Linked DNA regions of Daphnia pulex. The protein of the gene in region 2 interacts with the protein of the main gene of each other region in a pairwise test. Links are inferred from orthologs where the notes say so. Each region holds a gene or a part of one and is shown on either strand. Other genes may lie near its edges.

Region 1 (6,008 bases), on a different chromosome or scaffold from region 2:
TTCCATGACAGGCAATAAACTTTGCCAGCTAGTTTGAAATCGAGTTTTCTTTTCACACAAATAAATAAATGCCCTAGACGGAGTTGTACGAGTTCCCCAAGCTCTCGAACTATCGTGTGCAAAACAGACCAACGATATAGCCGAGAGCCGGACTTCCCTCAACTCCCAGGACCAAAACATGTACACGAGAGGAATCATTCGAGTTAAAAAATACTTTCTGCTATATTTACCACATTTATCTTGAAGGGCAAACAAAATTTGGAGAAAGGAGGAGGTTGGCTGGAATCTAGATGGAACGTTTTAGCTCTGCTATTCAGATGTTAAATGACTAGTGAAGGGCCGGATAAGAAGGATGAAAAGAATCGATCCGCAACAGTTTGCGTCTCTCTCTCTCTCACTCTGGGCGTTTTAGGAGGGAGTTTTGAGTATTTTTAAAATTATCGACGACGCTGGCTGCTTTTGCGGCAAAAGTTTCCCGGTCGTCGCCTTGTTGATGTAAAAGCATTCAAACGCCAGATGACGTTGTTTCCACGACGCCGTCTAATTACGCGTCGCCGCAACTGTGTGTGGGCAAAGAATTGGTGAATCGAGACACTGCGGATCAATACGCGTTCAAGTTGGGCTATATATATACCGCGTGCGAATAAGATTTACCATGTAAACTTGGTAAAGGGAAAGGGAGAATCAATCCGAGTCATCAGAAAGTAAAAGAAGTCCGCGGCCGCGACCTCTTCCAGCTGGGGGTGCCGTTTCAATTGCTCGCGATCGACCTGGCGATTGAGTGGCGGACGAAACAGGGCCCATCGATCCGCCCAAAACGCCACGCCCTGTTCCAGGACCCTTGAAATTGGCAGCTAGAGTGAACGGGTAAAGGAAATATCTCTGAACATGGCCATTTATAGATGCAACAACAATTAAAAATTGATTTACTGGCAGGAGTGTTGGGCAATCGTGGTGGACCGGATGGTTCTCTGTCATCTTCCTCCTCCTCCTTCTTCTTCTTCACTTCAACCGGTGCCTAAAGGGCCGGAAAGATCACACATTAGCCTTTCCTTTCAACTCTCATGCAAATTTTCATGGGATGAAATTACCTCCGGTTCTTCCGTTTCAGTCACTTTGGGCATTACGACATATTTGTTGTCATCAGCAATTTCAGAAGGGCAGTGGCGATTAGGCAGCAGAGACAAGTCATAGTACTCGCAGCACAAGTCGGAAATCGTGTAGGCGTAGTTGCGCACCCGCGTTAGCGAACAAAACGTTACATTGTCTTCTTCCACATGCCACTGTGCAATGACGTAATTCAAATTATTTTAGGTCAAAGGGATTATTATTAGCCATTGGAAATTTATACCTGGCAGGCCATATTTTTGCTGTAGAAAAACATTCCTTTGCCAAAGTGTTCGGCCACTAGCGCAATGCTGGAAAATTTCAACGTCGAATTGTTCACGTCGGCCTGGCGACGCAACTCGTAAAAGAGTTTGTTCAAACTGTAGATCTTGAACGGGCTGCACGTCTCGTACGAATCGTCCAGTTGGCAACTCTTTTTGACTAACCAGTCCACTATATAAATCGCTTTCGCGTTGTCTTCGTCGACCACGAATAAAGGAGCAATCCCGCCATCCTAGGATTATGTAAATTTTTGTTAATAAAATTATTTACTAAACTCCTTAATTAAAGGGAAGTTTACTGGTTGTTTGAGCATTTCCTTGATGTTATTCGTAATGTTAACATAATCTGAATTGGCTAGTTTGAATCCAAATGTTGGGATATTGTGTGTGTTTTCAGAGTGTAGCTTGGCTTCGTGGGCATACCCCAGTCGGATTTGACCTGTGAATTCATAAAACAATGGTGTAAAGCTTGATACCCAAGTAAATTTGGTAGATGAAAATACCAGGTTCTACAAAGTCATGGTAACACTTAGCTATCCCATCCAGAAGCGAAAACTTCACTATAGCGATTTCACATGGAGGGTACTCTCCCTCACTGGTAGCGACAGCAATGTTGAAATGTGCCAGATAAAAGTAGTGATTCTCGAGAGCTAGAAATTGTAAATATTGAATGTGACGGGAAAAAGGCATTTTCGGATGAAAGCGTACTTCCTTGAGTAGCAAAGTATGAAATCATATCTTCTACTTTCTGCAGAAGATGGTCTTTTTCCGATATTTTCTTTTGCTCTTCTTTTTCCTTCCAATTTAATGGAACTCCCCGAGTATCACATCTTTCTTCTTTGATAAAAGTAGTACCACCACCATCTTTAGCTTTTTTATGGTAGCTTGCCTTTTCTTCAGGTGACAATTTCTGTGAATTTAATTAAGTTTCACTTTCATTAATATTAATGTTAACAGAATGACGTATTAACAACACAAATTCCTTACATTCCATAACGGAGAGCACACCGGAATAACGTCAGTCAAGCCTCTAGGAAACTTATGTCCCTTGGCTTCTAATTGTGGTTTCATAGATTTCATGAATACCATGAAACCATTATCTTTTTTTTGTTTCTTCTTCGGGGGCATTTCACTTATTTAAAAAACGAATATGTAATGTGGGAATTAGTCGAATATTAGTCGAAAGTCGAGTCGTCAAGAGTTCAGCCGCGAAAAAGTAGATGCTCTCCCATCAGGTTTCCCGCCTGACCTACCAGGTATTCTGCTCTGGGATTCTGACGTAAGCGCTTTATTTTAACCCCGCAATCACCAATTAGATTTAAAGATTATAAAACTAAATCATGTTAAATAATAAAACATAAAATAATTTTTTATTTTAAAATTTTAATCAAGTATATTCCTCTTCCATATATTACCAGATATTACAAAAATGGGAAAACTTTTTGTCCATTAGCACGCTCATTTGAAACAAATCTGGCAAGGTTGATTTTTAAATACAGGCACTATTTGTTTTTGCCGCTCGAATGTTTCGTTGTGTGAACGTTTCACATGTGATCACTTCGTTTTGATAGCTGAGACTGATTGAAACTGAAACTCTTCCGAAACTGATTAATTGAGTCGAGAAGCTGAATCACACAATTGTTTTTCATTGACATATTCTGCTTTGCAACAGTGATTTCTTTAATCATTAGCTTATCATAAGCTATTAATCAGTACGATGGCTACTGCACTTCGAAATCTTAATGAAGAAGAAGAAAATGTCGTCGAAGCTCTCGAACAAACTGTTTTTTCAGCAATCAGTAAACTTGAAGTAAGAATGTTGAAACAACAGACACTCAATTTATAAATGCAAACTCATTGTTTAATTAGTAAACACATAACAATTCATTTCAATTTTCAATACTTCCAGGGCAATGGAATTAGTGGTGCAGATATCAAGAAACTGCAAGAAGCGGGGTATCACACAGTTGAATCAGTAGCCTATGTCCCTAAAAAGACACTCATGACCATCAAAGGAGTCAGCGAGGCCAAGGCTGATAAAATCATTGTAAAAAAATATTTCATGTAATTATCCATTAGCTCTTGTTAATGTTTCCATCCTCACAACTCTCAGGCCGAAGCTCAAAAAATGGTTCCCATGGGTTTTTCTACTGCCACAGAGTATCATCAAAAGCGTGCAGAGCTCGTTCAGGTTACTACAGGATCCAAAGAGCTTGACAAATTGCTTGGGGGTGGCATAGAAACAGGGAGTATCACAGAAATATTTGGAGAGTTTCGTACTGGAAAAACTCAATTGTGCCTAACTCTTGCAGTCACCTGTCAAGTAATAGATATTTCAGAAGTTCACCAATTCAAATTCTAATAAGTTTTTATCCATTTTAACTTTTTAGTTGCCCATTGACAGTGGAGGAGCTGAAGGAAAGTGCTTGTACATCGACACTGAAGGAACCTTTCGTCCGGAGCGTTTGTTGGCTGTAGCTGAACGATATGGCTTATCTGGCTCAGATGTTTTGGATAATGTAGCTTGCGCCAGAGCTTTCAATACTGATCACCAGTCACAGCTTCTGATCCAAGCCTCTGCCATGATGGCCGATTCTCGTTACGCTCTTCTCATTGTCGATTCCGCCACAGCTCTTTACAGGTAATCCTCAAAAGGATCTTTCTTTCTTCAAAGACATGTATGGCATGCAAACATTCTTTTATCTTCCTAGGACCGACTACTCGGGAAGAGGAGAACTTTCCGCTCGCCAAATGCATCTCGCTCGTTTTTTGCGCATGCTCCTTCGACTTGCAGATGAAGTACGTGTATACTAGACGTCGTAAATAACCATTCAAATTTTCTTAAATCACATTTGGTTTTTTATGTGTTTTTAAAGTTTGGCGTGGCAGTGGTTATAACCAATCAAGTAGTTGCTCAAGTCGATGGTGCTGCAATGTTCGCCGCTGACCCAAAGAAACCCATCGGTGGAAACATCATGGCTCACGCGTCTACTACTCGGTAAGTTTTCACTTGTTGTTATTTGCATCCCTTTGCCCTGACAGTAACAACTTTCCTTTCTGTAGACTTTACTTGCGCAAAGGTCGTGGAGAAACCCGAATTTGCAAAATCTACGACTCACCCTGCTTGCCAGAGTCTGAAGCCATGTTCGCAATTTTGCCCGATGGCATTGGAGACAGCAAAGAGTAAACTGCCACAGAAGGGACCGTCCTCCGCTACAGGTTATTACCCCCTTTCTTGTAAACCCTTTTATGAATTCTCCGTTTTTAGTTGTTTAAAAAGTTTCGATTCACCATCGCCCCAGAAATATGAATTTGTCTTGTGTTTATAAGTAGGTGGGAAATCGAAAAAAAACGTCAGTGTACATGTAACTGTATGGTTTACTTGTAACTTTAAAATATCTTACGCAATCTACCCTGTTCGCATTCTGTTCAACATTGTTCTGAGATTATCAGTGGCAATTACTGCTTGAATTTGAATACAAATATTTTTTTTTCTCAATTTAGGACTTATTTCTTGTAGGAATTAGCCCGTAACAGATTTAAAACGGCAATCGGTCGTATTTGAACGAATTAAATTTTATAGTAGACGCGCAGATAATATTCAAACTCGACTGTTTCTTAAACTAGCATATTGGGGTCAGTCTGTTTTAGAAAATCAATGGCAAGACTTGCTGACTTTTCACTTGTAACCTCGACATGACATTCAAGTGCGACGTGCGCAGTTTTGACGAAATGTTTACAACGCTGGCGAGTGGCGACGGAAGATAAAATTCATATCAAACCACAGTATCAAAGACTCGTGAGTATCATTTTCGAACATGTATTTATGTTTGGATTTTCCCATCATTTTAAAATATTTAAAAGAAATAGAATAAAATAAAACTGCCACTTTAAATTGGCCATCTCTAACCGACTGAGGAAAAGAGTGGAGAATGCTGTGGGCCGTTTGTTTTTAAAAATAGGCCGGCGAATTGTGCGACAAGATCAAACTGCTATCGAAAATGCAGCGCTGGGCGGTTGGTGAGTATCGGATCAAAGAACGTTCTGTACAAAATTGATTTAAATTTAAAATGTGTGAGCGCTTGAGATTAATCTAAAGTTACTGAATGTAATATTTTATACATTTTATATTTGTATATTTTATTGGTGTTGGTATATTATCTTGTTTGAAAGAATCGAGAATCATCTGTTTGTATACTCGGAGTATGTTCTGTTTATAAAACCTTGGCGGGAATATTGGATGACATTTCTGATTTATCAAAGTCTACACGACGCTGGACTTCGAAATCGGGAACCCGACACACTTGCTTACGCAATGTCGAAAATTTGGAAAAACCCATTCCAATGAATCTGCCTAATTTTGCTGTATGAATACGCAGTTATTCGTGAATTCCCGCTCAGTTTGAAACGTACGTCAAAGTGCCATACAACGAAATTTAACCTGTTCCCCAGCCTCATCTATAAATTAATTCTTTTCAAGTTTCTTTTTCATTCTTGGATGGAAATGGCTACGAAATCGATTGTAAGGTACATTTTCACCATTTTATTTGTTTCGGTCATTTGCTGCAACTGCCAATCAAACAAAAACCCCAAAACAAACAACCCCGGCGGTTCATCTTC
Region 2 (5,826 bases):
TATTCTTATTTCTTGTGTTGGATGTGCAGACTTCAACTTAGACAAGAACTTAGGATTCTTCCTAAGTGAGACGGTGTTCGTTATTGCAAATGTAAAAGAGTCAAAAACAAGGTAAGTATTAGCTGATCCCAACAGACATTTTAAACACAAATTTGTAGATCAATCATCATTTTGACACTACTATTTAATGTTGACCCCGTTTTCTGAATTCTTTGTAAAATGGCGAAAAAGTTTATATCTGTTCACGGATCCCGAAAAACTATTATTGCCCTCGGCGCGCAGTAATGACTTCATGATTGGCTGGTGCACCAGTATGAATTTATGGTGATTTTTATTTTTTGAGATAATTTTTCCAAAATTTCCTTTCGTTAAGAACTTACGAAGCATCAGCCGTTGCAAGAATAACAATCAGAAAAGGACTTGTTCCTCATTTGAAATTTTTCCTATTATTTTTCGTCACTTACAATTTTTCCTCAGTACCGTAGTTACTAGTTAGGCTAAAGATCTCGTAGTCTCGTCCTATAAGATAAAAGCTCAACACGGATTACGGTACTACGGCCTCGGAGATGCAGACGACACCAGCTTCCAATCCTTTTTAACGTGGTCTGACTAAAATTTAAATGATCTGTGATGTGTGGGATCTTCATGGTTTCTTTTCTTTTACTGGAACTGGACATCATTTTTCCAGCTATAAAATGTATTGCCATTAGATCACTCGTTGGCTAAAAACTATGTCCACTAGATGGTGTAAGTGTCTTTGATAGAATCGAAATTCCACCATTTTTTTTTCTAGACACTGAGAGAAGATGTAGATTGCAGATGTAGACAAAAAAAGACCGAACGCTACCTCAGAAAGTATCCTAGAAAATGAAGAGAGTTCTTCGAATCCTTTAGTTATCGAAAGGGGAATGTACACACCACATAATTTCTTCGAAGGCGGTGCAGTGGAGTAGTAGTTTCTCCAGGACGCTGTCTAGGCAAAGTACCGATGGTTCTCAGATAAACTTAATAGAGTTCCGACGGCCTGCCAGATCAGGTGCAAGCTGCAGAAACGGTGTATATATGGCTTGAAATCCGGTTTATTATTTATTGCAAAGTACCTTTTCGAATTGGTTAAAACCTGTCGAATAAATCAAACGGTTATTGGATAAAACAGATCTAAGTAAAATGTTTAATATCTACCAGCTTCTTGAGGAAAAACCAGGGGCTTTGTTCTTAGGTTGATTGATGGTCCCACGTTTGAAACACCAAACAGCGCGAAATATTACCTGTTATGGCTGTTATGAGCCTTCGAAAGAAAAACAATTTGATGTAATAAAAACAAGCACAAATAAACAACCAAACATAATGCAAAAGCTAAGAAAATATTTAAACACAGTTAATCTAGGGGGAATTGAATAGGGGAGTTGTGATACCTTAAGGACTTGAGGAAACTGAGGTAGAATATTTTATAGGACAGCATGGACTTCCTTTTTAAAAACAAATCAAATGTGTGTTTGCTGTTAACTTTGAATGAACCTGTTGGAAGATGGAAAAAAATAAAGTTTTACTCGAATGGAATAACAACCAGCAAAAGATTCTCTATTTTAATTAGGAAAATAAATAACATGTGTTACCATTTTCCCACCTGGTGAATTCTTAATTTGCTATCGCCTCCAAAATCTAAATTGAGCTTGGATGATGTTTCAGTCAATTCAATTCGTGAAGTGGACAATCAAAAGAAATCCTCTTACACAAATCGGAACCGGAAATCACCTGAAATTGCAGTGCATCATTAATTTCCAATTTTAGATTTTGGTCTGTAAGCTTTGTTCATCCTTCTGTTCTCTGATTAATAAGAAACAAAACTGAATTAACAATAGTTTCTATTATATCTGGTACTGTGGTTAAGTACTTGGTTATCTCACATAATAACACTAACAAGTTAATGACGACACGATTTTCTGGAAACTAATAACGAGTCGCCTCGCCTCGCCTCGCCGTTGAACGGGTTGAACTTTTTTCGACCATCCTCTGCAAAGACTACTGACAGAATGCGCCAATGCGGACAGCTTAAATATTTTCGCTTGAAAGCCCATCTAGTGAGACATTCGACAACGTCACAAGCAAAAGAAACCCTTTCGAGTAATCATTATTAGAGTAACTGCATAAGCACGATGCATTCACCTTTGTGTTTGTATTTTTAAGGCGCGATTCAACACGAGAAAGAGAACAAAGTGAAGGGATTAATAAAATGGTTTGTGATGAATTCTTCTTGAATTTTAACATTTTTGTTATATTTTTACTCAATTTTACAATGATAGAGACGGAGTTTGGCCCCAAGTCAGTTGGTTCAAGTTAAACGAAAATACGATGAAGATGATGACCCAGCTTGGTCAGAAAAGAAGAAAGGAGGCAAGAATAAGAAGACACAAATAATAGACAGAGCTTCAGAGTTTCTTTCTCCATTTCGTAAACCACTTGCTCAATGTAGTCTTCCAGTTGAAACCAATTCGGAAATGGCTGGATCGTCATTCCATGTAAAACATTAACTATAATAGTTACTTAACTCTATTGCCTCAAAATTATAGCTATTAACTATTTAACAGGAAGAACTTATCAAAAAGATTATGTCAAAGCCATTCAAAATACCAATACCAAACTACAATGGGCCAACCCTTAGCAAATCACTTGGAATGAGACGAGCTGGAGTACGACAAGCTTTACATGACCCAGATGAACCTGGTGCTTTGATTTTATATTCCCCTCCAGAACTGTCTGCTCATGACAAGCTGAAATCATCCATAAGGTACAATATTAAATAGTTTGAAAAGACTGGGGGATTAAATTTTCACATCTTTAAATTTTTTGTTAGTGATAAACATCCTGTTCATGTTGTTGTTGATCCAGTATTGACCAAAGTACTTAGACCTCATCAACGTGAAGTAAGTTCCACTTATGCTGCTGTAATTCTGGTCTTCTATTAATTTTCTATTGCTAGGGAGTGAAGTTCATGTATGACTGTGTCACTGGTCTATGCATTGAAAACAATTATGGTTGCATTATGGCTGATGAAATGGGATTGGGGAAAACTTTGCAGTGCATTACCCTGCTTTGGACACTACTCAAACAAGGCCCAGACTGCAAGCCCTTAATTTCAAAAGGGATCATTGTCTCACCTAGTAGTTTGGTCAAGGTGCATTGATTCAATGATCACTTTAATAATTCACTTTGAAATTTATTAACTGCTGTATTTTTTTTTACAACCAAAAGAATTGGCAGAATGAAATCAACAAGTGGCTAAGTGGACGAGTCAATACGTTGGTGATAGACTCTGGAAGTAAAGACGAAATTGATCGCAACTTGAATGGATTCATACACACACACGGAAGGCGAGTCGTCACTCCTGTTCTGATCATCTCCTACGAGACATTTAGACTTCACGCCCACGCCCTTCTCAAGGGAGAAATAGGACTTGTTCTTTGTGATGAAGTACACTTACTCATAATTAAGATCATTATCTGGCGCGAGTCTCTTATTCAACTAACAACCGTTTGTTCGTCTCGTTAGGGACATCGTCTGAAAAACAGTGAAAATCAGACATATCAAGCTTTGGTTGCATTGAATTGCAAACGACGTGTCCTTCTTTCCGGAACGCCCATTCAGAACGATTTGCTGGAGTACTTTAGTTTGTTACATTTCGTTAACCAAGGCATTCTTGGCACTGCTCAGGTGATTCAAGATAAAAATGAGATCCTTAACTAATAATAATGACAACAAACACATTTTCTTTTTGCAGGAGTTTAAGAAACGGTTCGAGACGCCCATCCTTCGAGGTAGAGACGCTGATGCGACGGAAGAAACTCAGAAGAAGGGTCAGACACAATTGAAAGAATTGGCCGATCTAGTCAATAAATGCATCATTCGGCGCACATCCGCTTTGCTGACCAAATATCTTCCAGTCAAAATTGAATTGGTTGTTTGTATTAAGCTCAGTCCTGTTCAGGCGTCCATTTACAAGAAGGTCGTAGCATCCGAAGCTGTCAAGAGCAAAATGAGGGGTAAATATTATATAAATTAAAGTACATGATTGATTAAATATTTTGTTGCTGTCCTGCTTAAACTTAAATAGAAGCCAATGAGAAACCGAGCAAATCGAGCATGACTGCACTGGCAGCCATCACCAATTTAAAGAAACTATGCAGTCACCCGGAATTGGTTTACGAAAAGTGCCAATCGGGCGTTGACGGATTCGAAGGCACTCTGCCGTTATTTCCTGCCACCTTCGATCCCCGGTTAGTCCCACACCATTCGTTTGCGACAGTAGAAAAATCTATAACCTCGCTGCTGATTTGATCGATAGAAAACTGCAAACCGAATTGTCCGGCAAGCTCTGCGTCCTCGACTGTATTCTGGCTATGGTGAAAAGCACTACCAACGACAAGATCGTCTTGATTTCCAACTACACTCAAACTCTAGATTTATTCGAGAAACTTTGCCGAATGAGGTCTTACCCGTGCGTACGCCTGGACGGCAGCATGAGCATCAAGAAGAGAGCCAAGGTACACAGACAAATCAAACCAGTCTTAGTTCTTAATGAAGTCGGGTCAGGAAGGACTGTTAAGTACCTATTTTGCATTTCAGATTGTGGAACATTTCAACGACCCAGCCAGTTCAGATTTTGTCTTTTTGCTCAGCAGCAAAGCCGGTGGCTGCGGATTGAACTTAATTGGAGCCAACCGGTACTAATTGGTTAATGCATTCAATTTAGAATGTAAGATTATTCACAAAAAAAAATGTTGAATTACTTTCGCACAAGGTTGGTGATGTTTGATCCGGACTGGAATCCCGCCAACGACGATCAAGCTATGGCTCGTGTTTGGAGAGACGGACAAAAGAAACCCTGTTTTATTTATCGCCTGTTGTCCGTAAGTATTTCTACCCAGAAAAAACAGTCGCAAATTGGACGGTTCTAAAGCAAATAATAACAAAAATAACTCGGTCGATTTAATGAAACGACAGACTGGAACCATTGAAGAAAAAATTTTCCAGCGTCAAGCCCACAAAAAAGCACTCAGCTCCTGCGTAGTAGACAACGAAGACGACGTGGAACGCCATTTCAGTCTGTCGGATTTACGAGATTTGTTTAAATTGGAAGAACTAACCTCGAGCGATACTCACGACAAGTTGGCATCATACCAAAATTTGGAATCAGACATTCATTCAAAAATATCTTTTTTTTTTAACAGATTCAAATGCCGTCGCTGCGTCAATCGGATCCAAGTCAAACCGCCACCGGATGACGCGACTTGCAATTCGGATTTGTCTCAATGGAATCACTGTGCGGATCGCAAAACCATTCCGGATCCTGTTCTCAAGTCTGCTTGGGACGCTGGAGTCACGTTCGCCTTCCATCAAAAATCCCACGAGCCTAAAATTGTTCCTTGAATCTTTCAAACAACAAAGAGAAAATCTTCCGCAGACGAAAGAAGTTAGTTGCAAATGCTCTGTGATTTTTCAGTTTTATGTTTTTTTAACTTACACGAGTTCTGTTGTGCAAAACACTGTAAATGTACTTTGCATTTTCCCCCCTTGAATACGAAATTGTTATAAAAGAAAACCAGATTGTAAAAAAGGTTCGTTAGATTGATTTGGACATTTCCTTGTAATGCTGCAGTTTTTTCTTATGAAAGAGGAAATAAGGAATTTTCACCACTTTTGCAGAAAAGCCACGAAACTTTTACAACAATTTTTTGTAATACAAACTGGATGACCTTTTTTCAAGAAATTTTTATCAATTAAACGACGACGACGACAGACGGAAAAAATAACGGGGGGAAGGAGACG

What was found. The genes of interacting proteins can lie anywhere in the genome.
Region 1: the proteins of DNA repair and recombination protein RAD54-like (region 2) and DNA repair protein RAD51 homolog A-like interact in a two-hybrid assay, tested with the Caenorhabditis elegans proteins (3 studies listed by BioGRID). The link is inferred for Daphnia pulex from reciprocal best matches to the Caenorhabditis elegans genes rad-54.L and rad-51.

The regions. Positions count from the first base shown.
Region 1 is NC_060026.1:14,856,727-14,862,734, forward strand, and holds DNA repair protein RAD51 homolog A-like, read left to right. Parts: upstream 1-2,589; 5' UTR 2,590-3,105; coding exon 3,106-3,198; intron 3,199-3,297; coding exon 3,298-3,435; intron 3,436-3,501; coding exon 3,502-3,711; intron 3,712-3,778; coding exon 3,779-4,029; intron 4,030-4,099; coding exon 4,100-4,187; intron 4,188-4,264; coding exon 4,265-4,386; intron 4,387-4,451; coding exon 4,452-4,575; 3' UTR 4,576-4,887; downstream 4,888-6,008. Other genes in the region: protein maelstrom homolog, read right to left, coding at 685-854, 931-1,018, 1,092-1,283, 1,352-1,621, 1,688-1,827, 1,892-2,038, 2,097-2,298, 2,376-2,516; uncharacterized protein LOC124204007, read left to right, coding at 5,887-6,008.
Region 2 is NC_060022.1:2,885,633-2,891,458, forward strand, and holds DNA repair and recombination protein RAD54-like, read left to right. Parts: upstream 1-2,108; 5' UTR 2,109-2,233; coding exon 2,234-2,236; intron 2,237-2,303; coding exon 2,304-2,519; intron 2,520-2,588; coding exon 2,589-2,788; intron 2,789-2,854; coding exon 2,855-2,924; intron 2,925-2,980; coding exon 2,981-3,175; intron 3,176-3,252; coding exon 3,253-3,471; intron 3,472-3,549; coding exon 3,550-3,711; intron 3,712-3,778; coding exon 3,779-4,040; intron 4,041-4,111; coding exon 4,112-4,274; intron 4,275-4,342; coding exon 4,343-4,541; intron 4,542-4,623; coding exon 4,624-4,721; intron 4,722-4,798; coding exon 4,799-4,907; intron 4,908-5,001; coding exon 5,002-5,165; intron 5,166-5,228; coding exon 5,229-5,427; 3' UTR 5,428-5,758; downstream 5,759-5,826.